4 linked regions of the Mus musculus genome follow. Each later gene encodes a partner of the first gene's protein in a complex. Links are inferred from orthologs where the notes say so. Each region holds a gene or a part of one and is shown in the gene's direction. Other genes may lie near its edges. The genes, in order: Klhl3, Cul3, Wnk3 and Wnk4.

Evidence for each region.
Region 2: the proteins of Klhl3 (region 1) and Cul3 are in contact, whole or in part, in a crystal structure (PDB 4HXI), measured with the Homo sapiens proteins. The link is inferred for Mus musculus from reciprocal best matches to the Homo sapiens genes KLHL3 and CUL3. Residues at the interface, in NP_059111.2 of Homo sapiens: Pro73, Tyr74, Ala77, Met78, Asp82, Met83, Ser84, Glu85, Glu92, Ile93, Lys94, Asp95, Pro125, Ser128, Leu129, Gln131, Met133, Arg136, Asp160, Val161, His162, Thr163, Thr165; in NP_003581.1 of Homo sapiens: Ile44, Asn49, Ser50, Gly51, Leu52, Ser53, Phe54, Glu55, Leu57, Tyr58, Arg59, Tyr62, Thr63, Leu66, Lys68, Met118, Asp121, Ile122, Met124, Tyr125, Arg128, Val129, Gln133.
Region 3: the proteins of Klhl3 (region 1) and Wnk3 are in contact, whole or in part, in a crystal structure (PDB 5NKP), measured with the Homo sapiens proteins. The link is inferred for Mus musculus from reciprocal best matches to the Homo sapiens genes KLHL3 and WNK3. Residues at the interface, in NP_059111.2 of Homo sapiens: Lys312, Arg339, Phe355, Gly357, Arg360, Thr386, Phe402, Gly404, Ser405, Gly407, Ser432, Ser433, Tyr449, Gly451, Arg454, Cys456, Ser481, His498, Arg528, Tyr577; in NP_065973.2 of Homo sapiens: Glu537, Cys538, Glu539, Glu540, Thr541, Glu542, Val543, Asp544, Gln545, His546.
Region 4: the proteins of Klhl3 (region 1) and Wnk4 are in contact, whole or in part, in a crystal structure (PDB 4CH9), measured with the Homo sapiens proteins. The link is inferred for Mus musculus from reciprocal best matches to the Homo sapiens genes KLHL3 and WNK4. Residues at the interface, in NP_059111.2 of Homo sapiens: Arg339, Phe355, Gly357, Ser358, Leu359, Arg360, Thr386, Phe402, Gly404, Gly407, Ser432, Tyr449, Gly451, Ser481, His498, Arg528, Tyr577; in NP_115763.2 of Homo sapiens: Glu557, Pro558, Glu559, Glu560, Pro561, Glu562, Ala563, Asp564, Gln565.

What each region holds. Positions count from the first base shown.
Region 1 is NC_000079.6:58,011,098-58,018,427, reverse strand, and holds part of Klhl3 (kelch-like protein 3), read left to right. Parts: intron 1-1,880; coding exon 1,881-1,982; intron 1,983-4,469; coding exon 4,470-4,598; intron 4,599-7,193; coding exon 7,194-7,330. UniProt on the Homo sapiens protein: Substrate-specific adapter of a BCR (BTB-CUL3-RBX1) E3 ubiquitin ligase complex that acts as a regulator of ion transport in the distal nephron.
Region 2 is NC_000067.6:80,335,936-80,343,978, reverse strand, and holds the start of Cul3 (cullin-3), read left to right. Parts: upstream 1-3,288; 5' UTR 3,289-3,667; coding exon 3,668-3,733; intron 3,734-8,043. UniProt on the Homo sapiens protein: Core component of multiple cullin-RING-based BCR (BTB-CUL3-RBX1) E3 ubiquitin-protein ligase complexes which mediate the ubiquitination and subsequent proteasomal degradation of target proteins.
Region 3 is NC_000086.7:151,195,329-151,203,147, forward strand, and holds the start of Wnk3 (serine/threonine-protein kinase WNK3), read left to right. Parts: upstream 1-2,749; 5' UTR 2,750-2,811; coding exon 2,812-3,345; intron 3,346-7,819.
Region 4 is NC_000077.6:101,259,094-101,266,888, forward strand, and holds the start of Wnk4 (serine/threonine-protein kinase WNK4), read left to right. Parts: upstream 1-1,473; 5' UTR 1,474-1,578; coding exon 1,579-2,187; intron 2,188-3,629; coding exon 3,630-3,802; intron 3,803-4,675; coding exon 4,676-4,896; intron 4,897-5,174; coding exon 5,175-5,332; intron 5,333-5,986; coding exon 5,987-6,075; intron 6,076-6,153; coding exon 6,154-6,370; intron 6,371-7,795. UniProt on the Homo sapiens protein: Serine/threonine-protein kinase component of the WNK4-SPAK/OSR1 kinase cascade, which acts as a key regulator of ion transport in the distal nephron and blood pressure.

The sequences.
Region 1 (7,330 bases):
TACTCGAGAACAAGCCTCCAGTGTAAATGTGGATCTCCAGGGCACTCAGGAACCAGACTCCTAAGTGCTTTCCTCCTCAGTTACGCAGTTCTGTCGGTGGAAACAAGACTTCTGTAGCCATAGCTACTCTGTGACACAATACATCCTGAGGAGGCCCCCGCACGCAGAAGGGTCCCTTCCTTATCTCCCCACACTTAGCCTGTTTCCTCAGAGCATCATGTAGAGGAAGGGGTTTGCCCTGATGGGATCTGCCTCAGGATTCTAGTCTGAACATTTTACAGAGCAGCTGAGGGACCTTAAGATTGGGGCCTAAGGTGCTTGGCTCAGAGCAGGCACTGCACCCCGATTGGCCATCAATTTTTCTATTGTCCCATAGAGCCCTGCAGGCTATATCACTGCTCAGGGGCCCCTCACCCCCGCATTTTATCTCACTTCAAAATTTTCAACCTGGGACCTGGAGAGAGAGAGAGAGAGAGAGAGAGAGAGAGAGAGAACGAATGCACGCATCGGTTGCTCTTCCGCAGGTCCCAGGTTCCTTCCTTCCTTCCTTCCTTCCTTCCTTCCTTCCTTCCTTCCTTCCTTCCTTCCTTCTTTCCCTCCCTCCCTTCCTCTCTCTCTCTCTCTCTCTCTCTCTCTCTCTCTCTCTTTCCTTCTGCTTTCCGAGACAGGGTTTCTCTGTATAGCCCTGGTTGTCCTGGAACTTGCTCTGTAGACCAGGCTGGCCTGGGACTCAGAAATCCGCCTGCCTCTGCCTCCCAAGTGCTGGGATTACAGGCATGTGCCACCCAGATTCATTTCTAAGCATCCGTGTGGCAGCTTACAAGCATCTGTAACTCCAGTTGCAGGGTATCCGATGACCTCTTCTGGCCTCCACAGACACTGCACTCATGGAGTGCACAGACATACATGCAGGCCAAACACTCACACACATAAGAAACAATTGTAAACATTTCAATTTGAAGTGTTAGTGGGTGTGAGTTTGGAGAGAGGACATCTGTGCTTACGTCACCAGACAGGATACTGAGCCAGGCAGTTTATCGAAGACAGTGACTCCATCTACAGCAGTAGTCTCTGTCTCTGAGGGAGATAAATGCAGTGTTGTTTGTTTTGTTTTTCTTTATTGAACGTCTCTCTGACAGCTCCTCAGTGAGCATAAGCTAAGAAGGGCATAGATGGTTATTGCAGTGGAACTTCTTCGGCAGAGGGGAAAGCCTGGCTGACTGCTGTATTACTCCAGAGACGAAGCATGGAATTCAGGGGTCACTGTTCCCAATTGGTCTGACTGCACACAGATACTGGGGCAGAGTACCTTAAGATCCTCAGGGCTTCTCCCATGATCACAATATAGTTTGCTTTGACTCCAGCCAGGGTGCTTGTGTCTCTAGTAGCAAGAAGCGGAAAGAGGTCACCCCTGCATCAGAAATGCCAAGGGAACCCCAGAAATCTTCGTCAGAATTCTGCCTAGGGCTCAGGGTCACCTACCTGCATGGGATCTTGGGAGGTACATTTTTAGCCATCTAGCTTGTAAAATAGAGGAAGACACGGGAAGGGGGTTGGGACTGGTGCCCAGTAGGGGCATCATGGGGCGTTTATTTGGGATCAAATGTCCCATTCTGTAAGTTTAATGGCTCGTATCTATAGTACAGTTAGGGCATACCCCTAGCTTTCTTACCAGCTCCCTTGTATGTCACAGAACCATTGGTAGTCAGTGGTCACCTTGTGCAGATTGAGGAGTTACCATGGCCACACACTAGGCAGAGGTGTACCAAGCTAGATATGGAGTCTGTAGACCTGCCCTCATCTCTTCCTGGTCTCAGCATTCCTCACACGTCATAGCGAGGCCCATGGCTGTAGAAATCCCACCATTCTCTTCTCCCCAGGCCTGGCATCCGTAGAAGCCTACAGCTACAAGACCAATGAGTGGTTCTTCGTGGCCCCTATGAACACACGGCGGAGCAGCGTGGGAGTGGGTGTTGTGGAGGGTAAGGAGGTAGCAGAGGGTGGTGGCTGCTCCTACCCTAGCCCGTGGGTCTTGTCCTGAGTCCAGTATTGTGCTTGATGCCCCCTCTACTGTGGGCTCCACTCTTAAGGTCACTGACCAGAGTTAAGTTCATTGTCTCTAGTAAACAGACTAGGAGGGCTGAGACTGGGTGGGGAAACTCCTGAGCCAAGGCTACGAAGGGGGTCAGCAGGTTGGGGGAGAAAGAGGACACTTGGGGGAAAGTGACAGCCTGTCCCTTGTATCTCTGCTAACAGTGGGGGATGGGAAGGATGTTGGAAGCTCAGAATCAACATACAAACTGGGGTACACTGTAGCAGGGAGGGGTACAAATTATGCTTGCATAATTATTATGTGTTGCATGCTAGCAGGGATGTGAGAAATGCGGGCTTCTTTTTCTCAGGTCTGACATGTCCCCAGATAGGCTAAGTATGGGGTTGTGGCTAAGGCAGGAGGGCGTTCCCTGAAGTTCGTAAAACATCTTTTTTCTTTTACTCATTCTTTCAAGCCATCTGGAAGAACACAGGCAGGACTCCGATTTTTCTCAGTGGGAAACCGAGTCCTTGTCTTATGATAGTAAATAGCAGAGAAGTCCTCAAGGTCTTATGACTCCTAATCTGGAGCCAGAGTCAGGTCTCAATTGCTGATAGGTAGAAGTTTCTGAGTTCAGTCCTGACACAGAGGCCAGGATTCTGTCCCCCTATCAGGATAAGTTGTATCCTCTTGGAGAGATACAAGTTCATTTGTCAGCCACATCCAAGAGCGTTGTCTAGCTGGCTTCTTGTTTCCCTTTTCGTTTCCCTTCTCGTTCCTCAGCCAGGAGCAGCCAACAGACCAGCAGCTAAAAACAGCATGCACATTCAGGAAGAGCCTGCTTGCTTCAGCTGATACAAGATTCGAATGGCTGATAGGGTTAGCGGAGGTGTCTCAATGGTAGAGATTGGAAATCTTGCCCGTGACACGGGCAGTGTCAGTGTGTCTGCTTACAGAAGGGCAGGCAAATGGCTTGCCCTGCAGGTGTAGAGGGAAGCTGGGAGTTTGTTTCTCTTGCCCACCCTGCACCTGACGCTCTATGGGCTGTGTGCTGCCTCATGACGGCAGAAAGTGTTTCTAAGAATGTGCAGGGTGCACTGGAGTGGACTGTGCTTCATAGTGGTTAAGGACTCAGCTTTCCACACAGCCCATTCTCCAGGCACATCCTCACACTACCGAGGCTATGCAGTCTGAATGACCCTTAAGAATTACAGGGTAATTAGCTACTTGCAGCTTAGAAGAATCCCTCATAAGGACAAGGTGAGGTGTGGGTTGGAGTGTAGACAGAAATGCCCAACAGAGCAGAGAATCACAGAGATGGGACCACCTGAGCTGGCACACACGGAGAGGTGGCCCCGGGGGATTTTGTTTGTCAGCTTGGACCTTGTGAGTGAGGAGCTGTGCATGAGTCCTTTTTCAGAAAGGTCAGCTGAAAAGACTTGGAGAAAAACACAGCTCAATGATATAGGATTTCTGGATTGGTAGCCTTGATGGTATAGCGCTGTTTTGGGCCCGAGAATGTGAATTTTCACATCCTGGTTGCACCCTCCACGTTAGGGACTCATTTAATGGCTCACCCAAAATTCTTGATTAAGTAATTCAAACCCTGTACTTATTTAGCCTGCAGCTAGTGTCAATATGGTCTGTGGCTGGTGTCATGATATCCTGTAGATCTGATATCCATAGGTGAAGTAGGGCTTCTTTCCCTGTCCCCGCAGATAGGAACTCTCCTATTGTATCTAAGACTAAATGTTAAACCCCATATATTTGAATCCCTGTCCTCACAGGTCAGATAATGATTCCCCTCTCTTTACTGCACCTAGCGCCTAGCTCCCAGCCCCAGATGGAAATGGCTCTCCCACGGGAGGTCAGCCTTATTTTTATTGAGGGATACTTGATAATACTTCAGGGTTCTTGTATACAGCTCAGAGAACAAAGTTGGCCGGCAGAAAAATCCCAGCTGCCTCAGCCCTGGGTGCACACAGAGCGCTTCCCTTATGGCGTGGGTGGGGCTGGAAGAATATTCTTCTGTATCCTCTTCACTTGTCAGTATGAGCCTATGTCCAGAAAGCCTGATGTGTGGTCATGGTGGAGAGCCTTGTAGCTCCCGTTGCTGGTGTGCTTTAACCTAGCTCCTCAAGCAAGCCTATATCGAACCCCATTGATGCCAAGTGGGTGCTCTGTGCTGGGTACCTGGGCCTCTTTTAGGAAGCTTCAACATTGCTTCTAAGCATCTCAGGGCTTCAGAGCAGGCGGGTATGTGGCGGGGTGGAGGTGGGGTGGGGGAGATGTGCCCTGTGTGTGGAGAGCAAGCTGGGTCCTTCTGGATGATTGAGACAGAGGTACCTCTGTGGGTTAAAAATGGAGCACCAGCCAAGCTCCTCCGGTTCTGTGTCAGTGCCACCAACACCAATCTCAGTCACTTGGTCTATTCCAGGGAAGCTGTATGCCGTCGGGGGTTACGATGGTGCTTCCAGGCAGTGCCTGAGCACCGTGGAGCAGTACAACCCAGCCACCAACGAGTGGATATACGTGGCAGACATGAGCACCCGACGCAGTGGCGCTGGTACGTATGTGAGAGCCTTGGGGCACAGGAGAGCATGGGGGTGGGGTGGAGTGTGTGTGGGTTACAGGCTGAGACTAAAGACCAACCACTGAACCGTGCCTGTTTCCCCTCATCCTGTCTCTTCTCCTCCAGTTGTAAGTAACCTGGCTACTACATGTCCACACACACACACACACACACACACACACACACACACACACACTCGCGCACACACGCACACATGTACACAGACCAGACTTTCCCAGGGACTCCTTGCTCAACATGGAAGGCGTGTCATCTTCACTGCCCCGTTTTGTGTTTGTTTGAGACAATTTCTCCATGGCCCAGGCTAGCCGCCACCCACCCACTCCTCCTCTCACCTTAGTCCACCACTGCTGATTCCTCTGACCAGAGTTTGAAAGTCAGTCTGGCCTGAGGTGGATCACTTTGCCCAAGGTCGTAGAATAGAAGGCTTGCAGAGTTAGAATTCTCTTTCCAAGGTAATTGTGTCTAGCCGTCTAATAATGAGCCTTATTCCCCTGAGGGAGGACAGGTTCTACTGCCCTGGCGTTAGCTAAGAAGCCTAGCTGGCCTGCCTGAAGCCCACGTCTTGGGAGTAAAGGCTGGCATAGCAGTGTTTATGGCTGGAGATAAACCTCGATCCCCTACACCCACATTTTCTTGCTTTGTTTTTCTCCACCGAGGAGAGATAATGACCCCCTTTTCTGTCTCATGGGGGAAGTCCAGGCACTTAGTCCAGTAGCCCATCCTGCCACGTCAACTTGGGCGACCCCATTCCCCATCGTTGCCATCTAACACCCTAGCTGTCCAGTGCACAGGCTGCCCATGTTCCCAAAGGGCCAGCTCCATCCATAAATCCTGTGACATTTTCCCCCTTTCCTGATGGTTTAGTAATTATAGCTTCTAGAACCTTCTATTTACTTCCTAAAAATCCATTTATGACTTGGGCCAAGTGCTAAAGGCCTGTGGCGGTGGTTGGGGTGGACGTCACCTGGCCCATCCTTGGCTGGAGGCCCCAGACAATGCCATTACAGCTGCTTCTATTTATGGGAGGCCCAGACCTTTGCTGGGAAGAGCCCTTTGTTCAGATTACTACGGAGCCCTGTCCTGGGACGGAACCCCGTTCCCGGGTCCCTTTCTTCAGTGCTTCACTCTGATAAAGAGTTAGGGATGTGTCATCACTAGCACCAGGAGCCTGTGTACTTGTCTCATTGGGAGCTGGTGACAGCCAAAGACCTAAAGACGGAAGGCTCTGTGTCATAGCTCCCTGAGGCCCGTCGGATTCTATGTGAGAGTCTATGAGCAGGCTACCAAGGATTGTGGGAGAGTTGCTGGGGGAAAGTCTAGGTGGCTCTTAGCTCCCTTATGAGTGGACAGCATAAGCAGAGGGATGGACACGGTGGGCAGAGACCATCTCAGGGTCCCAGAAGTGTCAGCTCCTGCTCACCCTGGAGGAAGAGAAGGTGAAGCAACTACTGAATTTTCAGACTCTCACAACCTGACACAGGTCATTGTTGGTACAACAGCACCATCTGCTGCTAGTTTAGAGCAACTGCCAGGAACCACTGGCAACCCGCTATAATTTCTGGCCGGGATTTTACATGACATCCTGTTATTTAGATAGTATCTGCAGGAGCCCATCACCAGTAGCCTCAGGGAAATAGACCAGGGCAAAACACAAGCAGTTCCTGACCTCATGAAGTCTATAGCCTCCGGGTTCAGCCCCAGACCCACAGCCTGGCTGCACATCGAATTCACTGAGATACCCCACTGGGCTTCTGGCCAGTGTCTCTGGAACTAAGGTTTTATTTTTCTAGAAAGTACCCAGCAGAAAGGATGCAGTCTTTCCACCGAAGGCAATAGTCCACAGAATCATGGGTACATTCCAACTCCCTCTCTCCATGAATGAGAAAGAGAAAGGGCCACCCAGAGCGGGTGTTGAAGAGGCAGGTGTAGGTGTCCCAGCTGCCAGGCAAGCCACCCTCACTAGCCCTCTCTCTTCCTGAATGGCTTGAATCTCCTCAGTCTTGCAGCAGTGAAGAACTGCTCAGCTCCTCCCCCCCCCCACCCCCAGGACAAATCTGATGCCTTCTGCCATCAAGGGGAAGAAGGGCTGGAGGAACAGGCTGGCAGGGAGTCTCCCTAGCAATGACCTCAGCACCTGGCTCTGTCTCAACAGATATACAACCGAATAATAAGATGCAGAGGAAAAGCAAGGCAATATGAATATGCCACAGGGTAACTGGGGCTGGTTTTCTGATGAGAATTAGCATCTTTTTACATTTCAGTGGATTTCTTTGAACCTTTTGAAAAATCCCTTTGATGCCCCTGTATATGTACACACACACATATTTACATTTTAAAAGCAGAAACAGGGTCTTGGCTTTGAACCTCCTTATTTGCAGGCTGCCTGTCTTATGGGGAGCCAGGCAGGGGATTATCACATTTATTTTACAGATTAGGGCAATGAGGTCCAGGAAGACAGCACTTGCTCCCTAAGTCTCCCTGCTGGCAATGACTATCCAGGCTTGAGGCCTCTTGGATGCTGGTTCTTATAGTGAGCCTGAGGCCAGGACACTGTGTTCTGCCTTTCAGGGGTTGGGGTGCTCAGCGGACAGCTGTATGCCACCGGGGGACATGACGGACCCTTGGTGAGGAAGAGTGTTGAAGTTTACGATCCTGGGACAAACACTTGGAAGCAGGTGGCAGACATGAACATGTGCCGGCGCAAC
Region 2 (8,043 bases), on another chromosome or scaffold:
AAAAAGAAAAGGTAGACAGTAAAGTCTTTATAGTCAATTTTTAGTGGTTGGTTTGCTAATTTGTCAGTTTATTCTGATTTCCCTCTGATTACATGGCATCTTACAATTTGATGTAAACACACAGTTACCAGGCATCTGAACAACTTTTGACCTGAAATAGTTATAAGGAGACAAAGAAGTAAGAACTAGCTCCGTCATGAAGGAGTTGGGACTCTCTATTTGTCTTTCTAATCTGAAAAGCATAGAACTTCCCTTCTCATGGTCTTGGTCCATTCAAAACCATAAAATTCTAATTGAATTGCTAGGCTGTAAGCTGATTTAATAACTACTATCTTTACAATCAAACACGTGAGTCTGCAGCAGTGATTACAATGGCTTGGTTTCCTGGATACCTAGAGACTCATGGCCAAGAAGTGGCTGCTATTCCCTTTCATAGGCTCTTCATACCTTATGGTGCTTTTTACAGTCTGGGACTTAGATGAGGGGCTGGCTCACCCAGCTGCCTGACCTGACCTGCCTGACTGCATGTCCTCCTCTGGATAATGGAACTGAGGCCACTGTTTCCCTGTGTCAGGACACTGTCAGCAAGAGTAGGAATAATAACTGTCAGGCATGCAAGATCTAGTGTGTTTTCATTGCACTGTGCTTGCTCTGCTAGGAAGGTGGCTGCTTGCACAAAAGATAATTATCTGAAAGGTCATCTTCATTGGAAGTGAGGGACCACCATGGGGCAAAGAATAGTCTACTGACATAGAGGTCTTTTCATATATATTTTTGAGGATGCTGCTTCCCTAAGAAAGAAAACAAATCTCTGATTTCTGAGGTGAAGCACACAGAAAATTATTGCTTAGTTCAACTTGGGACTGTGGTTCCTAATTTTGTGATATAGAAAAGGACTTTTATGTTCTATGATGGTGGGTCTCAACTCATTCATTTATTCTAGTACTTCACATCTATACTAGCAATTTAGTAAATATTTGATTAAACAAATGAATGGACAAATCAGCAAATTTCTCAATGAGATTAATTTTGAAGCATTTTTTGGTAGTTTTTTGGTGGTTAAAATCCAAACAGTTGATAGTGATTCTTTTAAATGCATTTAAATTTTGCTTAAGTAACACAAACATGGAAATCTGTGTTTGTAAAACAAATGAAAATAGCTATATAGTTTTGCAAGTGAATAGCAATAGGTCATAAGGTAGTTAATTCCTCTATTCTGGCTTTGGGTGGTTTCCCAAGTTCATGGAAAAACGAGAAAGATTAGGGCAATGCACTGATTTTCATAAGGCTAAACCTTTCAATGTAGAATAGTTTTTGTTATTTTTTAAAAAACTTGCAAATAAAGCATCACCTTCATAAGACTCCATGAACTTCTGAAACACCTGGAACATGGCATTTAGAAAGGAAGCTGTGGAGTGTCACATTACAATTTTACACTTTTACTATTCACGCACTTATTCACCACCAAAAGCAACAAAACAAAAAACAAAACAAAACAAAAAAACCAAAACAAGATCCATGACAGCATTATAACTAAAAATAAGATTTTTAAATCCTCCTTCATAACTGTGTGCATTACCTGCAGTCAAGTCAGTCCTTCCTGATATTCTTATATCCAGGGTTGCTTCTTTCTCCATACCCACATGCATCTTTGACTGCATATTACAAATACTATTGGCTTTTTCTCATGAGAGAGAACATGCAGTTCTTTCGGGAAAGCTGATAAAGTGGCAGAGCTTAGATTAAAGCCAATGGCTTAAAATGTATATTGTAATAAGAAATAGAGCCATATGATAGGACAGCCAATAGAAAAAGGTTTTATATCCTGATAATTATGGAAATGGCAATCAATTAGCATACTAGTTATAAACAACTATGCATCACTCACTATATTCATCAGAGCCCTTCCTTGTTTTACTTAACCCATTCTTGATATTTTATTTTTAGCTTAACTCTCTAAGCTTAGTCATTACAAATAATTTAGGGTCAATTCAACCATAAATAAACAAGCTTTATCAAGTTTTCCCTTTTGGAGGGCGGGGGTGTGTGAAGGGTGTTCAAGACAGGGTTTCTCTGTGTAGCCCTGGCTGTCCTGGAACTCACTCTGTAGACCAGGCTGGCCTCGAACTCAGAAATCCACCTGCCTCTGCTTCCCAAATGCTGGGATTAAGGTCATGGGCCACCAATTTCAATTGTAGGTGCTAATCCCAACAACAGTTCACTCAAAATGGGAAGATCCAAAACTGGGAGAATCTCAGATTTCCCAGGGGCGTTGGAAACAGCAAATGAGCAAGTATGCAAGGTAGATGTAGGATTCATACTGAATTAGAAGCCAAAAGCAGTCGAATTGGACATTTCGACTATAGGATAAGAGTCCCCGAACAAATAGAAAAATGTCTCCAAACCTACAGCAAACTTAATTTCACAGTGCTTTTGGTTTTAATGATCTATACTGTTCTTGGAAATGGTCGTATGTTTAACACAATATTGTAGTATATTAGGCATTTGTTTTATTTCGGCACAAACAAAAACCGGGTTTTAACATTAGTGGGCTCTGGATCCTCCAGAAGGTATCAACTAATGAACAAACCCAGGAGCTTGTACAGTGTAAGAAGGCCGGGTTGATTCTGAGGCGCTGCAACACCTAGCTAAAAACAGGACACTGGTTTCGCAGTCTGCAGGTAACTCAAGCACAAACCCTGCTTTCAAGTTTCTGGCTGGGCTCAAGTACCCATCCCTAGGCCACGTGCCCTAGAAAAACACAGGAGCAGTTCTAGGACGTAGAACCTTCCTCCTCGCACCCCACGCCCTTTCCCAGGACTACCTACCTACTAGGGCCAAGCTCAGCCCCGCCAGCCCACAACACAACACTCCCCTCTCCCCCTTCCGGAAATTCCCCCGCCCACTACCCACGTGACCCACCACCTTCGCGCTCCACCAATCAGAAGCCACCTCAGCCTACTGGGGTCTCCGACGCTCCTCTTTTGAAAACGCAGCCTACGTCTCCTGCACCAGGCCCCGCCCCCCAGGGCGCTGACTACGCCCATTCCTTAATCCACCCCTCTCCCCCCTCCCCACCACGTTCAGACCCCACTTCTCCCTGCGCCCTCCCTTCCCGGGCTTCGCCCCACCCCGCCCCCGACCGCGCGCCCGCCCCGATCTCGCGAGATCTGACGTGCCCGCCGCGGCCTCCCGCCTCCCCTCCCGTCCTCCCGCCCCCTCCCCCATCTCTCCACTCTCCGCTCTCCTCCCTCCCTCCTCCCCCCTCCACCCTCTGGGCCGGATCTCGTCTCGCTGAGGCGGAGGAGGAGAAGGAGGAGGAGGACGTTCGGCCTGCGCAGTGAGATGTTTGTCCGTCGCCGCCGCCGCCGCCATCGCGGAGGAGCGCGATAAAGGGAGCCGAGCCCGGCGCGAGGGGAAGCCCGCGGAGCCGCCGCGCCAGCGCAGCCCCCGGCCGAGCCCGAGCCGCCCGAGCCCGAGCCGCCGCCCCCGCCGCCGCGGCCGCCCAGGGGCCGGCCCGCCGCCCAGCCCAGCCCGGGGGCCGCGCCGCCGCCCCCCGCCGAGCCCCGCGGCTGCCCTCCCGCCTTCAATGTGACACCGGCGCCTCCGAGTGCGAGCCGCAGCCGCCGCCGCCGTCAGCGCCGCCGCCGGGGAGGGGCCGAGCACCATGTCGAATCTGAGCAAAGGCACGGGCAGCCGGAAGGACACCAAGATGCGGATCCGGGCCTTTCCGGTGAGTCGGTCCTCGGCGCCCGGGACCGGGAGCCGCGGCCCGGAGCCGCACGCGAGGCCGGGGCTGAACTCCGCCAACAGGCCGCAGCCGGCCTCCCCTCCCCCCACGGCCGCCGCCGGTGGCGGAGCGCGAGGCTTCCCGGCAACGGGGCGGCGCGGGGCCGGGTCGGCCACCTCCGGGGCCGTTCCCCGCGCCCCGGCCGCCCCGGGGCCTCCTTCGCTCGGGCCTCGGGGGCCGCGGCCCTGAGGGGATGCGCGCTGTGGCCGCCGCACCCGTCGCGTGGGGCGTGTGTGTAACTTTTAGCGTGCGGTTTCCAGAAGGAGCCGGCTCGGCTTTTACGGCGGTGGGGAGGACTGTCCACCTCTGCTCGACTCCGTAGTCAGGGGCGGTCTTGCCATCCCACTGCCCCACTCACTGACAGAGATGCTAGAAATGCCCACTGGCAAAACACTAGGAGCATAGTATTTATAGCATCCTTGATCCTGCAAAGCTTCCTAAGCGCTTGACCCACTCCGGTTCAGAATCGCCCCTCCACTTCTTGGAGGGCCAGGCACAGCTTTTCCGTGTCTTAGTCAAGGAGGTCCCCAAGAATAGTTGCCACTCAGACTTGTTTTACCTTGTACGTTTTTAGCGACAGCAAACATTTGCTCTTCAGAAACTTTTCCTCTTGGCGTTACGTTGAGTCATAGGCTTGCGGTGTTTAGTAGATGGAGTAGTATGTAACTTTGGATGTCATGCCTCGATCAGATAGCCAGTGGCAGGCAATTAAAATGTCCTGTTGTAACAAACTGGACGTACTTGCTCGTGTCGCTACAGTGACAGGTAAATGTCAAATAGACAAGCCATCAGTGGAGCAGAATTGTAAAAGTAAAACGGAGGGAGGTTGTTTTTCCCTTCTAAGACTCATAAGCATTCTGTCGTGTGGGAGGGGAAGGGGGCCTTTGTCATCACTTTTTGAACAGGCTTTTCCTGAAGTACCCTTTGCTGTGAGGAATGAAAGACCACGATAGTATTGTCTGAGTTAAGTAACTTTGCCTTGGAGAACTTGAGGGCCTCTGAATTCCTCATCCCAAAGAAGTGTACAAGCGATGCAGAATTGTGACTTTGCAAGGGACATATTGTCAGCATGTAAAAACTTGCACCTTTATGTAAATAAATGGGCTCTATGTTAACATGTAGGGTATAATCAGGAGGACGAGATACTTTAATAATAATTGCATTATGAACGATTTTTTTAAGTAAATAAGAGATTACACCAGAAAGTGAGAAATGCTAGAAACACAGTGCCAATAAAGGTAACTATTATGTTTTCCTTTGTAATTGGACAGTGAGCCAGGTTTATGAACTTGAATAATTTCCCTACCTAATCAACCACCCAAGTGATTGTCAAATCCACATCCTTCCCTCTTTTTTTTTAAGCGAATTCAGACATGGTTGTTTTTTATGTTTTAATTTTTTTTTAATCAACTATGACACTGATTTTTCTAGGAAATATTTACTCTTGGTTCTGTTGTTTCTTTGTTGTTTAGTAAAATGTGAAAGAGCTTATATTTGACCAGTTAATATTTTTCAGAGTAACCGGTTCTACCTTTATCTGTGTTTGCAGCTCTTTGACCTCTAGGTTTCTCTACTTGAACCTGTTTTCCTCTCCCCATATACTGAGTACTGTATGCAGGCACTGTTTATTCCTAGAGCTTTAGGACTTAGCAGTAGATGTGAAAAAGGAAAAGATCAGTGGTTTCTGGAGCTAGCATTAGGGATTAGAAGCAGGAAGAGAATTTTGTACCATTAGCTGAATGAAGATGGTATTAGTGTGTGATAGGCTAGTACTAAAACTGAGATTTTTGTTTTGTTTTTTGTTTGTTTTCCAGTTCATAAGTAAATAACCATAAGTTGTTCCCATTGAAATAATTGGCTATTGTTGAGGCTAAATAATGCTCCAGTGATATTTTATTGAGTTCTGGGAAGTGAGTCCATTAGGCTGTCAGAATTGCTTTCATTCAGATTAGATGTCTTGTATATAAGTACAACCCACTTGGATTCTTAGAAGTTAAAATACATAGTATTTCATACACAAAAAATACCATTTATGTTTATTACATGTGTGTATTCCTACAACTGTTATGTGTTATACTATGTGGATATGTAGTTAGCTATAAGTAATGGCAGTTGCTCATTTCAGGTTTTTTATAAAATGGATGTATAAAAGGAATGAAGTAAGTTTAGACTTGTTTGATTTTTCATTGTACAATAGTGGTAAGTTAACTTACAGAATATATTTCATATATAGATGAGTACTTTATCAAAAAAGTACTTTATTAAAGTTCTACCAAATCAGGTTCTCTTACATTTTTAGTGCATATTTTAAGTTTGCTTTCACATTTTTAAGCAGAATAAAAGTTACACCACATTAGCTTAACTTATATTTTAAGTTTTTTCCCCTCCCTCAGTTTAAACCTACAAAATTTATTTACAAGATCAAATTTTTCTGTATTTTTAACTGTTGTCAGAAAAAATCCCTTAATTTTTAGACTTCCCTTCATTATGTAGCGTATAGCTTATTATACATCTTTCTGTTGGTCATTATTTTAAGAAGATTTTTAAATTACGCGTGTGTTCAATTGTACATATGAATGCTGAAGGTACCTGCAGAGGGTGGAGTCAAATACCCTGGAGCTGGAATTATAGGCCCTTGTGAGCTACCCATTCCAATGCTGGGAACCAAAATTCTGGTCTGCTGCTGGAGCAAGGGACACTTTTAACCACTGCACCACTCTCCAGCCCCTATTGATAATATTTTGAAATTCTTATCAAACTATAAGTTGGAGCTACAGAAGATTAATAAGAAGGGAGTTTGGTTGTGTATGGATTTGAGCTAAGTAATTCCTTTGGAAAAGATATTTTCCTTTTTCCACATGTTTTAATTCATACATTCTCAGCTCTGTATAGTCCATTGAGTTAACCTTTCTCTGAAAAGCCATTCCTCGTCGTATTGTCCAGAATTTTTGTTCCCATGGGCTTTAACAGGCTCGATTGGAATTGAACATGTGATTCTTGAATAAAAATGCTATCCTTAGATTTAGGAGACACTGAAAATCACTTCTACTTTCTGACCGTTCTCTTAAAAGTGCTACCATGGAGTTCTAGAAGTAATGTCAGTTCATAGTTTATACAGCTTGCTAAATCATAACAGGGACAACTCTTGATGTAATCTCCATGATTGTAGATGAATTTCACCTGTGCAACATGGTCAGCAAATGGTGCCTACAAAGTGACAGACAAAAATGTTAAGATCATTCATGACAGACATTAGAGCATGAAGAGATGAGGACTTGGGTATATAGTTGATGTTTCTTCTATTTCTAGCTACAAAAGTATTTGCCAGATTTAAGGGACATCTTTGATCTTCATGATAGGTTTATTTCCTGGAGAAGGTACTTGGTACAGAGAAGTATCTGGACTGTATATATAGGAGAATAACAGTTTATTCACACAAAGCCAGGAATTAACTGTAAATCTATTTTCATCCTCTGTTTCTTACAGAGAAATTATGTAGGAAGGTGTATCAAAATGTTGCTTACACTGAGACTTATGCTTTCGACTTAATAGCAGTTAATGTTTCCTTGCTTTAGAAATTAGAAAGCAAAAGAGAAAAAGGAAATAAAAAGCATAATATTAATTTTCATCTTTAAAATTTTTTTATGTACATGAGTGTTGTTGCCTCCTTGTATGTCTCTGCATCATGTATGTGCCTGTTGCCCTTGGATGTCAGGGGAAGGCATCAGATCCACTGGAACTGGAGTTGCAGATGGTTGCTAGCCACCATATGCATTCTGGGAACTTCGTTCTGAGCCATCTGCAGGTGCTTTTAACCATTGAGCCATTTCTCAAGTAGCTTACTTTGTTTCTTAGTTATATGTGTGTGCTTATGCCCATAAGTATAGATGCCTATGGAGACCAGGAGAGGGTAATGGATCCCCTAGAGTTGGAGCTATGGGAAGTTGAGAACTGAGGACTTGGTTGTTGGGAACCAAACTGGGATCTTCTGCAAGAGCAATACACATTGTGCTTAGTCAGCTCTTCTGCTCTAGTCTACTCAACAATGTCCTTTTAGATATAACAGCAGTTCAGAAGACTCTATGTATGGATATATGCATGCATGTGAGAAAGGAGTCTGTTATTAACTTATGTTTGTGTGTGATGTGGGTATGTGTGTCTGTGGATGTGTTTGAGGAGGTCAGAGAACTTTGGGTGTCCTCGTCTGTCACTACCTTATTTCCTTGTGATATGTTCTCTCACTGAACCTGAAG
Region 3 (7,819 bases), on another chromosome or scaffold:
GTTATTATAAATAAGGCTGCTATGAACATAGTGGATCATGTGTCCTTATTACATATTGGAGCATCTTCTGGGTATATGCCCAGGAATGGTATTGCTGGATCTTCCGGTAGAACTATGTCCAATTTTCTGAGGAACCGCCAAACTGATTTCCAGAGTGGTTGTACCAGCTTGCAGTCCCACCAGCAATGGAGGAGTGTTCCTCTTTCTCCACATCTTCACCAGCATGGGCTGTCACCTGAGGTTTTTTTTTTTTTTGTTTTTGTTTTTTGTTTTTTCGAGACAGGGTTTCTCTGTATAGCCCTGGCTGTCCTGGAGCTCACTTTGTAGACCAGGCTGGCCTCGAACTCAGAAATCCGCCTGCCTCTGCCTCCCGAGTGCTGGGATTAAAGGCATGCGCCACCACGCCCGGCAGTCACCTGAGTTTTTGATCTTAGCCTTTTTGACTGGTGTGAGGTGGTAGTCTCAATATGTAATTTTGCCTGGTGTGAAACTTGCTGTGTAGATCAGGATAGCCTCAAACTCATAGAGATCCATCTGTCTCTGCCTAACAAGTGATGAGATTAAAGGCATGGGACACCATGCCCAACCCAACATTTAATTTCTTTATGATAACATTCTAACTGGAGTGAGATTGTGTAGTTTTAATAGATATTTCATTGATTGCTGAGGATATCAAAATTTCTTTTTCATGTATTTGCCATTTGTATTCATTTGAAAACTGTCCACACTAGCCCATTTATTAATTGGATGCTTTAGATTTTTGGGTATTTTTGTAGTTCTTTATGTATTCTAGGTATTACTCTACTGTATGATGTGTTATTGGTAAAGATTTCTTTTTCTGGTTTTGTAGGTTGTCTCTTCGACCTGGCGATTGTTTCCTTTGCTGGGCAGAGCTTTTTAATTTCATGCAATGTCATTTATAAATTCTTGGATTATTTCTTGTGTTATTGAGCTCCTTTTCAGAAAGTGCATGCCTATGCCTGTGCCTGTATCTTAACCTGTCTTCTTCAATTGCTCACTACCTTTTTAGAGAGAGGGTCTTACTATGTAGACCTGGTTACCTAGTAACTATGTAGACAAGGCAGAGATCTGCCTGTCTCTGCCTTCAAAGCTCTTGAATTAAAGCTATGGGCCACCACACCCAGCCTTCCACCCTATATTTTGAGACACTGAACCTGAAGCTTACTGATTTGGCTAGGCTAGCTAGCCAGCTCATCCTAAGGATTCTCCTGTCTCTGGCTCCTCAACACTGGAATTACAAGCATACATTATTGCACCTGGATTTTCCAAGGGTGCTGAGGATCTAAATGTAGGCGTTCATGCTTGCCAAGTAAGCATTTTACTAGCAGGCCCATCTCCACAGCCTTCTGAAATATTTTAATTTGAAAAATCTCAAAACATGTAAAAAAAAAAGGAGCAAAGTAGTACATTGAAACTTTGTAAGCTTTTTACCTGTATTCCTAATTAGTAGTGTTGTAGCTGCTTTCTTTATATCACAGAAGATGGCAATATAGTAAGTACGTTCAAAGCCAGCCTGGTCTACATAGTTCAAGGCAGCCAGGACTAAATAGTAAGACCCTGTCTCAAAAATATGGTGAGCAATTAAAGAATTCAATGCACACCAACTTTTATTTTCCATATGTACATGAATAAAAATAGGTATGTTTCTTTTGTGATTCTTAGGTGATTCTCTACCTTCAGCTTACAGAGTAACTAGGACTATAGGTGCATTCCATTGCACTCAGCTGGATAGGACAATTTCTATAATGAATATAAACTGTCAGCTTAAGATGATGAAATTGCTTTGGGAATGGATTGAAGTGATGATAGGCCCAGCAAGATGGCTCAGTGTATAAAGTGCTTACTAGGCAGACAGCTAGAGATTAGTCCCAGGAACTCATATGAAAGTAGGAGAGCGCTATCTCACACAAATAATAAAATATTGTAAGAGGTGAAGATAGCACAACATTGTGAATAATGCATTAATGCTATGGGGCACTACATGTAAAATAGTTAAAATAGTAAACTTGATTCTACATATATTTGACCACAAACTAAAGAAACTAGTATCAGGTGAATTCAGAATCTTAGGCAAAATTCTTCTGGAAAACATGTGGTATTTTTACTCAACTTATGTATGGCTAAGTGTATTTAGGATTTGGGCACCTGTATTGAATTTGGGCGATTGTGATGAGCTGAGAACTAGGTTTCTGCATATGAAGACATATTGAACTGTATGCATGGCTCCAGCTGCACATGTAGCAGAGGATGGCCTTGTCTGGCATCAGCTGAGGGGAGGCCCGTGGTCCTGTGAAGGCTTGATGCTCCAGTGTAGGGGAATGCCAGGACAGTGAAATGGGAGTAGGTGGGTGGGTGGGGGAGCACCCTCATAGAAGCAGGGGGAGGGAGGATGGAATAGGGGGTTTGCAGAAGGGAAACCAGGAAAGGGGATAACATTTGAAATGTAAATAAAGAAAATATCCAATAAAAAAGAGCTGTATGCAAAGTGGTTTACTAGTCAGTGTAGCTATATTAAAAATGATAACGCATACTTAGTCCCTGCTATCTTAGTTGCTAAGTTGTACAGCAACAAGAATAAACTTTTTATTAAGAAAGTTTAAATCCCGTGACTTGTTTTTTCCTTAATGATTTCTGTTGTATGATTTTAAAACTATCTCTTTTCCATTCTTCAGGTTGCTATGGGAATATATGACCATATAAAAGGAAGTACATTCTGAAAATTCTCATACCTGAGATGTAAGTAGACTGAAGAGTGAAACAAGAACAAATTTAGTGCCAACCTTAGTTACAATGGCCACTGATTCTGGGGAGCCAGCTAGCACAGAAGATTCTGAGAAGCCTGATGGAGTTTCCTTTGAAAACAGGGCTGCCCGGGCTGTTGCCCCTCTGACTGTAGAAGCGAGAATAAAGGAAAAATACAGTACCTTTTCTGCTTCCGGGGAAAACATCGAAAGAAAGAGGTTTTTCCGAAAGAGTGTTGAGATGACAGAAGATGACAAAGTTGCCGAATCTTCCCGCAGAGATGAAAGAAAAGCTGCAACAAATATTTCAAGAGTAGATAAAGTTCCTACAAATGTGCTAAGAGGTGGGCAAGAAGTTAAATATGAGCAATGTTCAAAGGCAACCTCAGAATCCTCAAAAGATTGCTTCAAGGAGAAAACTGAAAAGGAAATGGAAGAAGAAGCAGAAATGAAGGCTGTTGCAACTTCCCCTAGTGGCAGGTTCCTGAAATTCGATATAGAGCTGGGAAGAGGAGCATTTAAAACGGTATATAAAGGATTGGACACTGAGACATGGGTTGAAGTTGCTTGGTGTGAGCTACAGGTGCGTATATAATTTTCTTGGCTTTATGAATTTCAAATTTAGCTACCGGGACTGCGAGAATGATCCGGATGAAGACGTAAAGAGCCCTTCTACCATCACTGAGAAATTATGCTCTTGTTAGGAATATATGCCAAGCTTTTTAAAAATTATCTTCCCCTCACTGTTCTATTTTTCTTCCTCTTCCTCCTCCTCTTCTTTTGTGGCAACACTGAGGATGGAATCAGGAGCCTTTTCAAGCTAGACAGTCTACCATTGAGATATATTTCCATGCCAGTTTTGCCTTTAACTTAATTTTGCAGTGCAGGGAATCAACTCAGAGCCTTATATAAGTATCTTGCCAATGAATTATACCCCTTCCTCTCCTCTATTCATTCATTCATTTATGTATATTCTGATGCTAGAGATCAACTTTTGGGTCTTGTATGTGCTGGGCAAGTAGTCTACGAGTGAGCTATAAAAATACCCAGCCTTTGGTAATAAAACTAATTTTTGCTTTCCATTTATCATTTATTTTGATACACGATATATAGCCCAATCTGGCCCTGAATTCTCTCTGTAGCCTAGGCTGGGTTCAGACTGGTGGTCTTTCTGTCTCAGTCCCTCTAGTTTCTCTCTAGTCATAGTAGGACTTGTCTCTCTAGTCACAGGCACTTGCCATCTTTGCTTTCCTTTCCTGCATTAAGAACAAAAAGTCTGTGTTGTGTCATTCTTTGGGAAAAATTTTTTATTAGCTTTAGGAAATTCCCCCAATTCTCACTAACATCTCATTTTAAGAATTGAGTGTATATATCTTGTCTGATTGTTACACTCCATATTTAAATGTATGATAGGAATGTATTTAGTATGAGATCTACCTTTATTTTTTTCTTACAAAAATGTGAAATTCATCGATATTTTTACAAACAGGAAAGAGACTTTTTGACTCTTTGAAAACTTCTTTTGCTATTCTATCCTCATACCTTTGAAATTACAGCTAAGTGGAATCAGCAGAATCTGCAGATGCTAGCGAGTCAGCTCAAGCAGACAGTTTTATGTAGTACTATTAACAAAGGAGGGGTAGAACAGCATCAGATATAAAGTATTAGAATGACAATAGTTTCAGCTAGATACAGGTCAAATATAAGGAGACCTCAGCCAACTCATGAAAAAAGTATCAGCATTCATATGGGATGCTTAAAATTAAGATTGGGATTTGGAATCTGGCTCAGTTTGGTACAGTACTTGCCCTAGCATGCATGAGCAAAGCTTTGGGTTCAATCTTAGCACTACATATACTGAGGATAGTGGTACATGTCTGTAATTCTAGTACTTGGGAGGTGACAACAGGAAGATCCGAAGTTCAAGGTCCTTCTTGACTATATGTAACCTGGGCTACATGAGACACTTCCTCAAAACAAGAACAAAAAATCCCAATAACAATAACAACAACAACAAAAAACCCCTAAATCACAAAATTAGGATTGACTAAAGATAGCCACTACAGATAGGTTGTTGTTTAAATTCTAATGGTGCCTATAAAATATCGCAGATTCCACCCATTATAAAGTTATATTGTTTGCTATTTGGGTAGACTAAAATTTAATCTTAAGAGTTTGGTATAGGAAGATTATTATATTTTATTTGAGATAAGGTCTGATATATTTCAGGTTAGCCCCAACTTCACTATGTAGCTGAGAATGATCTTCAACTTCTGAGTTTCCTGCCTCCACTTCCAAGTGCTGAGATTGCAGGCATGTACCACCATGCCCAGTCTACTTGATTTTCAGGGGCTGAACTTCTCTGCCAGCAGAGCTACACCTCTAGACCTGGACCTCCTTGAAGTTGTACCTAGACATCTAGCAACTCCAGCTAGAGTCTGTGAACTAAAGATGCTACTGAAAATCAAAACAAAGCAAAACCACCAGCAAGAGAAAATAGGCACAATAGACTATAGCAGGTTAACATGTTGAGTGAGCATTGTATGTGTATTTTTATTATAGTAGTGATTATTATATTATTATATTTAAGATAATGTAGAAGTAGAAGAAGTAACCGAAAATTCATGGTTAAGGGTTAAGCATTAATTAACCCCAGCATTTAGGAGATTGAGGCAGAAAAATATTGAATTAGATGCTAGATCTTATTTCTTAAAAATGCAGTTTTTTAAAATATTCACTGTAGGACACTTAATTTTGATTCTAAAATAGTTCTCTTACCTTTTCAGAAATGTTTCTAGATTCTATTTAAGCCACCAATAAAATGAATATGGTTAATTCCATTAAAGCTCATCCCAATGCTATTTAGTTCTATTTCCTTTTGTCTTTGTCAGATCCAGTCATCGATATTAAGTGTAGACCCAGGGCTAAAGAGATTCTCTTGAATCTAGGAATGATGAAGCTTGCTCAAATATGATGGTGGAAAGGGACAAGTCTAGTCTGGGAAATATCATTAATTCCTAAATAGTTTTGTGAGTTATTTTTAGTTATTTGTGGAATTGACTTCAAAAAGAAAGAGAAAGAAATTGATATGTGTAGTAGGCTGAATAACGACATCTCAAAGATGCCATGGCTTCAACGTTACTTGGTTAAAACTAGCTTTGCTAATGAGGCTAAGTTAGAGATGGAAATAGTGAATTTAACTTGTTTTATCTAATCACCAGTCTTTGTAAGGAGGAAAGCAGGTTGGCAATCATTTGAGAAAGATCTATGAATAAAAGCAGAGTTTGGAGTGATGCTGTTGCAGGATTAGGTCACCAAGCCAAAGGATGCAGATACCCTCTAGAAAGTTGGAAGAGGCGTGGAAATAAATAGTTGCCTAGGGTCCCCAGAAGAAACAGCTGCTGTCTGAATTCTAGTCTAATGTGACTCACTGTAGATTTCTGATTCCCATTTCTGGAACATAATACATCTGTGTTTTAATCCACTAAGTTTATGCTAATTTGTTACTGTAGCAATAGGAAATGGATGTGACCTATTACAGTTGTCTTTTTTTTTTTTTTGGTTAGTCAACAAACATTCCTTGCAATGTGCCAGACCTATACTAAATGGTAGGAACACATAAAGGGAGAAAAAGCAGACACAGACAGATTTCATAAAGCCTAGAGTAGAATGAGTATAGTTAGTATATGAACAAGCCTTGGCGATTGGAGTTAGCAGAAAGATGAAAGGGCTGTTTTAACTATGGGTTTGTTTAAAGGAAATGAGAGGGTTAGAAGCAGAAGGAAACAGAGGTGCTACTCCTTTACTACCTTGGTTTCTTTTTGAACTGATTTTCAGGTGATTTCCTACTTACAAAAGGGTTACAAAGATACCCTATAAACTAAAATACTGAACTTAACCAGAATATATGAGTTTGCCTGCAAATACTCCTCTTCAGTTATTTGATTACATCCATGTTTCTATACTGTGTGTGCTCCCCCTTCTTTAACAGTTTTTCCCCCAGGGTTTCCTTGAACTTTCAAAGGGTCTTAGCTGTTTCTCCCTCTCCTCTCTCTCTTTCTGAGATGAAGTCTTACTATATAGCTTACAAACACCAAGAACTCATTTAAAAAACCTTCTACTATGATTCTTAAATACTATTATTATAGCATACACTGCCATGGCTGGCTAGCTAAGCTCTGCATTATTTATCAAGACTACCACAAAAGTGATGCCCATCTACTTAAGTCTGCAATAGCAATGATACATGATATTGGTATATGTTAAAGATAAGGTAGGTAATTTTGACCACTTGCCTACTGTCAGATTGTTCCTATTATCTACTTGTTAGATTAATAAATATCTTTGGAGTATATACTTTGACACTGTGAAATACATCTCAGGTAGGTTTTGGTACTCTTTGGTGTCTTTACACAGGTAATTTACACTGTGATTATGATGTTCTGTTTGTAAGACTTACCTAGAACTTGATGGCCCAAGCTGGTCTTGAACTTCTGATCCTCCTGCCTGAAATGCCAACTTTATATTTTCTACTTTCTGCATTTATCAATTGGCACCACCTCTTAGCTTTGTGTAGTCTTTCCCCAATATATCAATTAAGTTTCTAAAAATTTATTTATTTATTTATAAGTGTTCTGTCTGCATGTATATTTGCATGCTAGAAGAGGACAAGAGATAGCTTTAGAGATGGTTGTGAGCCACCATGTGGTTGCTGGGAATTGAACTCAGTGTGTCTGGCAGGGCAGCCAGTGTTCTTAACTGCTGAGCTAGTTCACCAGCACAGCGATTTATTTGTTTATTTTTATTTTATGTGCTTCTGGGTTTTTCCTGACTGTGTGAGGGCATTGGGTCCCCTGGAACTGGAGTTACACATAGTTGTGAGCTGCAATGTGCATGCCTGATGTACACAGTCCAGAATAGGGCACCAGTTTGATTCTCTGCAACTGGAGTTACTTATGGTTGTAAACTGTCATGTGGGTGCTGGAAATTGAACTCCAGTCATCTGGAAGCAATGTGTGTAATCTCTGAACTATCTTTCTAGCCCTCATATATGTGTA
Region 4 (7,795 bases), on another chromosome or scaffold:
CCCACAGACTGGATCTGTCACTCCTCCAGACTCAAAGGGCTCAAGTCCTGAAAGCTCAGACTTAGGGATGTTTCCCACATAACCCTTTATTTCTGTCCCTGGGATAGAGTAAGCCCACAGTGCCACGGAGAAAGGATGCGTTTCTTGCCCTACCTCCTTTCCCATCCTATACTGTCCCCGAGCCAGGGTCTATAAACCTGACACTTTACATGTGTTCTCACACATAAGTACACACCCACCTACATGCGCCTGCACAAGCTTCTTTCTCCTCCTCCCACTCCTTTAGCTGCTGTTGCCTCCCTTCTCAGGCTGGTGCTGGATCCTCCCCAGGGATGGGGGAAGCCCTGGCTGCAGGCAGCCGGCCAGGCAGTATGAAGATAGGAAGCCCCAGAAGGGGCCTGGTGGTGAGAGGCGGGCCCACTCTGATTTATGATATTAAAATCTCTACTCCCACTGTCGGCCTGTTACTACTGCTGAACTGGGACTAGGGAAGGCGCTGCAGAGTTCCACCTGACTGAGTCTCAGCCAAGGAAAAAGAAGAATCCTTTGGCCTTTGTACAGAAAGGCCTGGGGGGGGGGGGGAGCTCCTGAGAGCCTGTGGTTTGCCATGTGCTGTGCTGGGTGGGTCGTGTGGAGGAGTTCGGGTGGGACATAGCTTGGGGACAGGCTGCTTGCTCTCTGAATTGGAGTCACTTAATTGCTCCCCCATGGAAGTCCTGAACTATTCTGAAGCCCCTCCCTCTACCCATGATGGTCCGGGTGGGGTAGCGGTGGCCAAGGGGAGCTGGTGGGGGGGTAAACCGGATGTGGACTTTGGTTTATTGAAGACTTTGGCAAACACAAGGGGAGGAAAGAGCCCACAGCAAAAACAGCCTTTCTGGCCAGGGCCAGGCTCAGGCCAAGGTGGGGTGGAGTTGATGGGTGACAAGCTCTTGGTTAGGGCCGGGTGGTGGGGGAGGGGCTTGACTGGAGTATACCCAACCCATCCTTGTGCAGGCCAGGGCCCTAGCTGAGCCAAGAAAACCATACCTTTCCAACACCGATGTTAGGCCTGGGGCTACTACTCCTGATTAGGACTTGGTAGTGCTGCCTTATCAAGGGTGTGCAGGCTGGTGGTGCCCCTCCCCCTCGCTGAGGCATAGGAGCGGCGGTCACTTTTCATCTCCCGTCCCAGTGTTCTCCAACTCCCCCACCCCAAATGTGTTTGCCCTCTCCTGGTGCGGGAGCTTACCCACTGCCGCCTCCCACTCACTCAGCTCTTGCCGGGAAGGTTTAAAGGCGGGGACTCTGGAAAGCAGAGCACGCAGCCGGGGGCCTAAGCAGCAGTCGAGATGAGGGGCAGTACCCCAGCTCCACACTGCAACTCGCCAGGCTCACAAGGGGTGGCCCTGGGGGGTGAGGACCGGTCTCGGCTGGGGGCGGGTCGTGGGGCGGAGCCGGGGGCGGGTCGCGGGGCAGGCCAGTCGGGGGCTGGGGCCCCAGCAGCTCCGCTGGAGCGCGGTGTACCCAGCCGGTCTGCCTGTCAGGCAGCAACCTCCAGCCTCCTGGCTTTCCGTTCTGCGGCGCCTGGCCCTTCCCATGCTAGCACCTCGAAATACGGAGACTGGGGTCCCCATGTCCCAAACCGAGGCTGACCTGGCTCTGCGGCCATCTCCGGCTCTCACCTCTACGGGGCCGACCCGCCTGGGGCCACCTCCTCGCCGAGTGCGCCGCTTCTCTGGGAAGGCTGAGCCTCGGCCGCGCTCTTCGAGACCTAGCCGCCGCAGCTCAGTCGATCTGGGACTGCTGAGCTCCTGGTCTCAACCAGCCTCACTCCTTCCGGAACCCCCGGATCCTCCAGACTCCGCTGGCCCCACGAGGAGCCCACCTTCAAGCTCTAAAGAACCCCCCGAGGGCACATGGATGGGGGCAGCTCCCGTGAAGGCTGTGGACTCTGCATGTCCTGAGCTTACGGGATCTTCAGGAGGTCCAGGGTCCCGGGAGCCACCGAGGGTTCCTGATGCTGCAGCCCGGGAACGGCGGCGGGAGCAGGAAGAAAAAGAGGACACAGAAACCCAGGCTGTGGCAACGTCTCCGGACGGCCGATACCTCAAGTTTGACATTGAGATTGGAAGAGGTTCCTTCAAGACCGTGTATCGAGGGCTAGACACCGACACCACGGTAGAGGTGGCCTGGTGTGAGCTGCAGGTGTGGCTGGGCACCCCCTCTCTGGTGCCTCGGGATGGGGCCTTTGGGGGTCTTAGGTTGGGGAAACGGGAGGACAACATCAAAGGAAGGATCACTTTTTTTGTCAGCTGTCCAGGCGCTCTTGCTTTCCTTGCCGGCATGATTGTACTGACTCTGGGTGGTTTCAGGAGAAACTGAGCCGGGTGGTTTATAGTGGCTGCCAATGAGCATAGACAACTTCACTTTCAAACCTCTACAAATCTGAGGGCTGGAAAACTGGGTGGGCAGCGGGTAGCCCTCCAGTCTCTCCTGCCCCTTCCACTCTTGTTCCTTCAAGTTCTGAGACTTTCCGCTGTGACTCTGGACCACCCACCCCTCTTCCTCCTCCTCCTCCTCCTCCTCCTCCTCCTCCTCCTCCTCCTCCTCCTCCTCCTCCTCCTCCTCTCCCTCTTTACAGACTTAGAGATGGTATGTGGGAGTTCAGGAGCTGAGGACAAGGCCCTCTCCACCTCCGGAAAGATTTAGGGTAGTTGTGACAGAAGCGGGTTCTTCAGGCCCTTTCTGGAGCTGTCAACTTTACAGATTTCTCAACAGCTTCAAGGAGCAGGACAGGAAGCTCTAGTTCTAGCTGGAGTCCAGTCCGGCTTCTCATCCCTATGCATACCTGGGGTCTCCCTTTCCATTGCCAAAGGAGCTGAGCCCTTGCAACTTTTAGACTTCAGGAGGATGTGGATTGGCAGTTTCTTCCTCCCGGAGCTCCCACTCTAAGTGTGAGTGGTCCCAGAAAATTTTAGGGTACAAAACCAGGAGGAAGGATCCTTCCACTTAGGTCCTGGCATAGGGCTCTCTCCTAGTGACTGCTAGTGCTGCGTCCCAGGCTCTAAGCCCCGCCTGGAAAATCAGCCAGATTCAGGGGAGGGGGAGGGAGAGGGATAAAAAGAGGGGTAGGGCAGCTCCAGCCATGGGGGGGCGGGTGGCCTCCTGGCCCTGGATCTTTTCTTTCTTGGTATCTTCCTCTGACTCTGTCTAGATTCTGCAGTTCCTAGTTTTTAGGGCCAACCTCTTGACGGCCCCAATTCCCTGCTCCTGGTCTGTCTGCTGGCTGCTCCCCCCCCACACACACACCCTCACCCCACCCCGCCCCTTCCACGGTAGGCTCTGGAGGCCACAAAGGCGCTATTGAGTGCATAACTCCCAGACCTGGTTGCATAAAGGCGCTTGTGTCCAGCAGGGGGTCCAGAGTGCTGCCCCAGGCCCAGGGTGGATGCGTTTTAGAGCAATAAGAAAGGACCAGCCAAAAGTTGGGGGTCTACAGCCCTTCTGGCTAGCGGTTTCACCAACCATACCCCAGCTGTACGCTCCCGCCCTCATTTCTTCCCCCAGCCCTACCCCAGATGTCCCATGCTCTTCTTGGGGTGTGTGTGTGTCTGGAACTGTTGTGACCCCGTCACCCCATCCCACAGACCCGGAAACTCTCTCGGGCCGAGCGGCAGCGTTTCTCCGAGGAAGTTGAGATGCTCAAGGGGCTGCAGCACCCCAACATCGTCCGCTTCTATGACTCCTGGAAGTCGGTGCTGAGGGGCCAGGTTTGCATCGTGCTGGTCACAGAACTCATGACCTCGGGCACGCTCAAGACGTGAGCTCTGGCCTGGGTGGGAGGGGGGAGGATAGAACATCACTCCGAGGCTCTGGGAACTTCTCCCAAGTCACTTCAAACTTGAAACCAGGCTCTCTCCCTCTTACCAGTCTGTGTGAATGTCAATGTGCACCGAACATACAGGTCAAAATTTTGGGTGTCTTTGCCGCACCCTCATTCTCAACAGTGGTGTCTCATAAGTCCTAGCACTGGGTCTCGTCTCCCCCCCCCCCCCCGCCCATCTTTGTCCCTACCTTGCTGCTCCACCACTGTCACCCTCCCAACTCCCAGCAGCCCTCCTAAACGGCCTTTCCCAATCTGCCCTCCCTTCAAGTTATACTATCTTCCTGTAAACCAGGGGAGACCTGACCCTTTGACTCTGTCTTTTAAACCTCTTCAAGATTTCCCACTGCCCCGGGGGTAAAGTCCGTTCAGTCCCCACGACACACTCTCCTCTTGAGCAGAAGTTACAGATGAACGCAATTCTCAGTGATTCCTCGCATTCTGAACTGTCACTACTGTGGCTCTCTAGCCTGGAAAGTCTCCATCCCTCCCTCCCCGTTTTCACCCTTGAACTTATATTCCTTCAAGACAAAAGTTAGTCCTTCCCCACTCTTGGGACCGTTAGTCATTCCTTCCGGCGCTCCCACAGCACCGTCCTTGGCTGCGGCCCTATCTGCGAATTTACCATCAGAATCATTTTGTAACCTGTTTACTGCACTCATTGATTCAGTTTCTTTCCGACCCAGACGGGTCTAAATTAAAATAATGCTGGCAGAGGAGGCAGAGGTGGTGGCAAGGATGGGTTAGGAAGGAATTTTCCAGTCCCAATAGATATCCCCGCCCTGACCATGGTTACACACCCTCTCCCAGGTACCTGAGGCGGTTCCGCGAAATGAAGCCCCGAGTCCTTCAGCGCTGGAGTCGCCAGATTCTACGGGGACTTCATTTCCTTCATTCCCGAGTGCCCCCCATCCTGCACCGAGATCTCAAGTGTGACAACGTCTTCATTACTGGCCCTTCAGGCTCTGTCAAAATCGGAGACCTCGGACTGGCCACGCTCAAGCGCGCCTCCTTTGCCAAGAGCGTCATTGGTGCGTCTCTCCAGCAGGACCCTTGCCACTGCTACCTTCTTTGCATAAGAAAAGAGCATGGGACCCCTCTCACACTGCTCCAGCAGAGCTATTGATCTAGGGAGACCCATTTTTCTTGCCCCTGACACAGGCTTTGGGCAAGAGTTGGTCACCAACACTCCAGAACCCCTGGGGTTGCTCTTGGGCTATTAAGACTCCCTCCGACCCCCATATGATATACCCAAGTGGAGGGGGGAGACCAGGAGGAAGAAGCCTGATTCTTTCTGTGGGTCCAATAGGGACCCCGGAATTCATGGCTCCTGAGATGTACGAGGAAAAGTACGACGAGGCTGTGGATGTGTACGCCTTTGGCATGTGCATGCTGGAGATGGCTACGTCTGAGTATCCCTACTCCGAGTGTCAGAATGCAGCACAAATCTACCGCAAGGTCACTTCGGTGAGAAGGGTGGGGTTTGGGAATCCCCAGTGGCCCTCCCACTCTTCTATGCTTTAACTAGTCTGTATGTAGTTAGTACCCTTTATATGGTCATATATTAATATATAACATTAGCACATATTATATTAACATATTAAGATTATATACTACATATTGTACATATATTAAATAATGTATATATGTGTACACACATATACATATATGTATGTGTGTATATATATATATGTATATATATATATATATATATCTTTAATAAAACCAGGCCACCAGGCCAGACAGAAAGATGCCCTGGTGAAACAGAAATGTATTGTATGCACATAAGCCCTTCACACAAGCTGGTAAGAATTTGTTTAATCCAAAGAGTTTACAGATAACTTCACAGCCAATCTCAGTAGATCTTTCTAGTTGCCCGGCTAAGTGAGCCAGGCAAACGTTTTACCCTGTGCTTTACAAATGAGAGAACAAGCAACTGGCAGTCTTGGCCAAGGTCACACCAACACTATGTGGAGAGAATGGGATCGGAAATCGAGTTTTCAGTACCAGCATCCTCCCCCAACCTCCCCCAGGCCTTGGCGCCTGCCAGCACTGCAGACTTGCTGAGATGGGGTCGCGGGTCGCAGGCAACCCGTGGCCTCATGTGATCCCTTCTCTCAGGGCACAAAGCCCAACAGCTTCTACAAGGTGAAGATGCCAGAGGTGAAGGAGATCATTGAAGGCTGCATCCGCACGGATAAGAACGAGAGGTGGGGTCCGGGGCAGAGAGGGGATGGAGATGATGGGGCAGTGGCAGCGGTCTCCGCTCACTGTCCGCCGGTCCCCAGGTTCACCATCCAGGATCTCCTGGCCCATGCGTTCTTCCGCGAGGAACGAGGTGTGCACGTGGAGCTGGCAGAGGAAGATGATGGAGAGAAGCCGGGCCTCAAGCTCTGGCTGCGCATGGAGGATGCGCGGCGCGGGGGGCGTCCACGAGACAACCAGGCCATCGAGTTCCTGTTTCAGCTCGGCCGGGACGCTGCGGAGGAGGTGGCTCAGGAGATGGTGAGGAGAGTGTAGATAGATCCTGCTTTGCTTGAGTGTGTAATAGACAATCTGCCATCAGTCATCAGGAAGGACCGGGGTGCTGCTCTGGAGTAGTGAGCAGAGACCCCCTACCCAGAACTGTAGATCCTACAGGGGTCTCTCCGCCTCTTCCGCCCTAATCCGTCTGCGCACACCAGGGTTCTTTTTTGAGAACAAATCCTGGAAACCCTAACCTCACTTCTTTGCCTTGCAGATTCGTTTATCACAGAATGCCTTTCTTGGCAATTTATCTCTTTATTTTTCCCTCTCCACCTTCTTGTCCCGTCCCCCCCGCCCCCCCCCCCCCCCCCCCCGGTCTATGCTTAGCATCATCAGTTCCAGGACGGTCACTAAATGCTTCTTTTCAAATCCGTGGGTTGGGGTGAGGGATGGGGGCGGCTTTATAACAACCTCAAATCTTGGGCTTTGTTTCATACCTGAATACATTTCCCGTCCCTCTCCTCTGCTAGACTAGAAACTATCCGTGGTTGGATAATATTTTACTGATTTTTTTTTCCCCTCAGTCCTTTACTGTTTGGCAATAGTAGGTGCTCCTTAATGTTACGTGTGACTTAAAGAAAGAAAGCATTTTCACGTGACCCTCTTGGGAGGGCAATGGAATGTATGCTCAGAGAGACTGACAGTTTTGTCTAGAGTCCTAAGAAAACAAATGACAAAGAGGGATGTAATCTCAAGCCTTTTAGATTTGAAATCAGATGGTCCTTTTACTCACCCAGCAAAGCCCAGAGCGAAGCTGATTGAAAAGGAGAGGGGAGGTGATGGGCAGAGATTAGTGGAAGAGAAGGTACGTGTGGAGATAGATGCCAGGGCAGAACCTTGAGAGCTTGTTGAGAACCTGAATGGAAGGAGGGGTGAGAATATGGGATTCTCAATAGAGGAGTGGCAGTTTCGAGGTCAAGGGTCACATGTGATGGGTCAAGAAGCTGGCTTAGAAGGCATGGTTGTTTGTTTTTTGTGTTTTTTTTTAAGTTTTATTTATTTATTTTATGTATCTGAGAACACTGTAGCTGTCTTCAGACACACCAGAAGAGGGCATCCCATTACAGATGGTTGTGAGTCACCATGTGGCTGTTGGGAATTGAACTCAGGTCCTCTGGAAGAGCAATCAGTGCTCTTAACCGCTGAGCCATCTCTCTAGCCCCGGGGGTCACATTTTTTTTTTTAATCCCAGCACCTGGGAGGCAGAGGTAGATGAACCTCTTATGATTCCAGCCAGTGAGCTCCAAGCCAGCCAGTGAGACCGCCCGGCACAAAAGCAATCTCCAAAGCACTGCCCAGCTCGACCCAAGAGTCAGTCTTTTTAGAGTGACATCTTGTTTATTTTGTATGTGACTGTGCACATGTATGTGGGGGTCACAGGTGCCTTAGCATGCATGTAGAGGT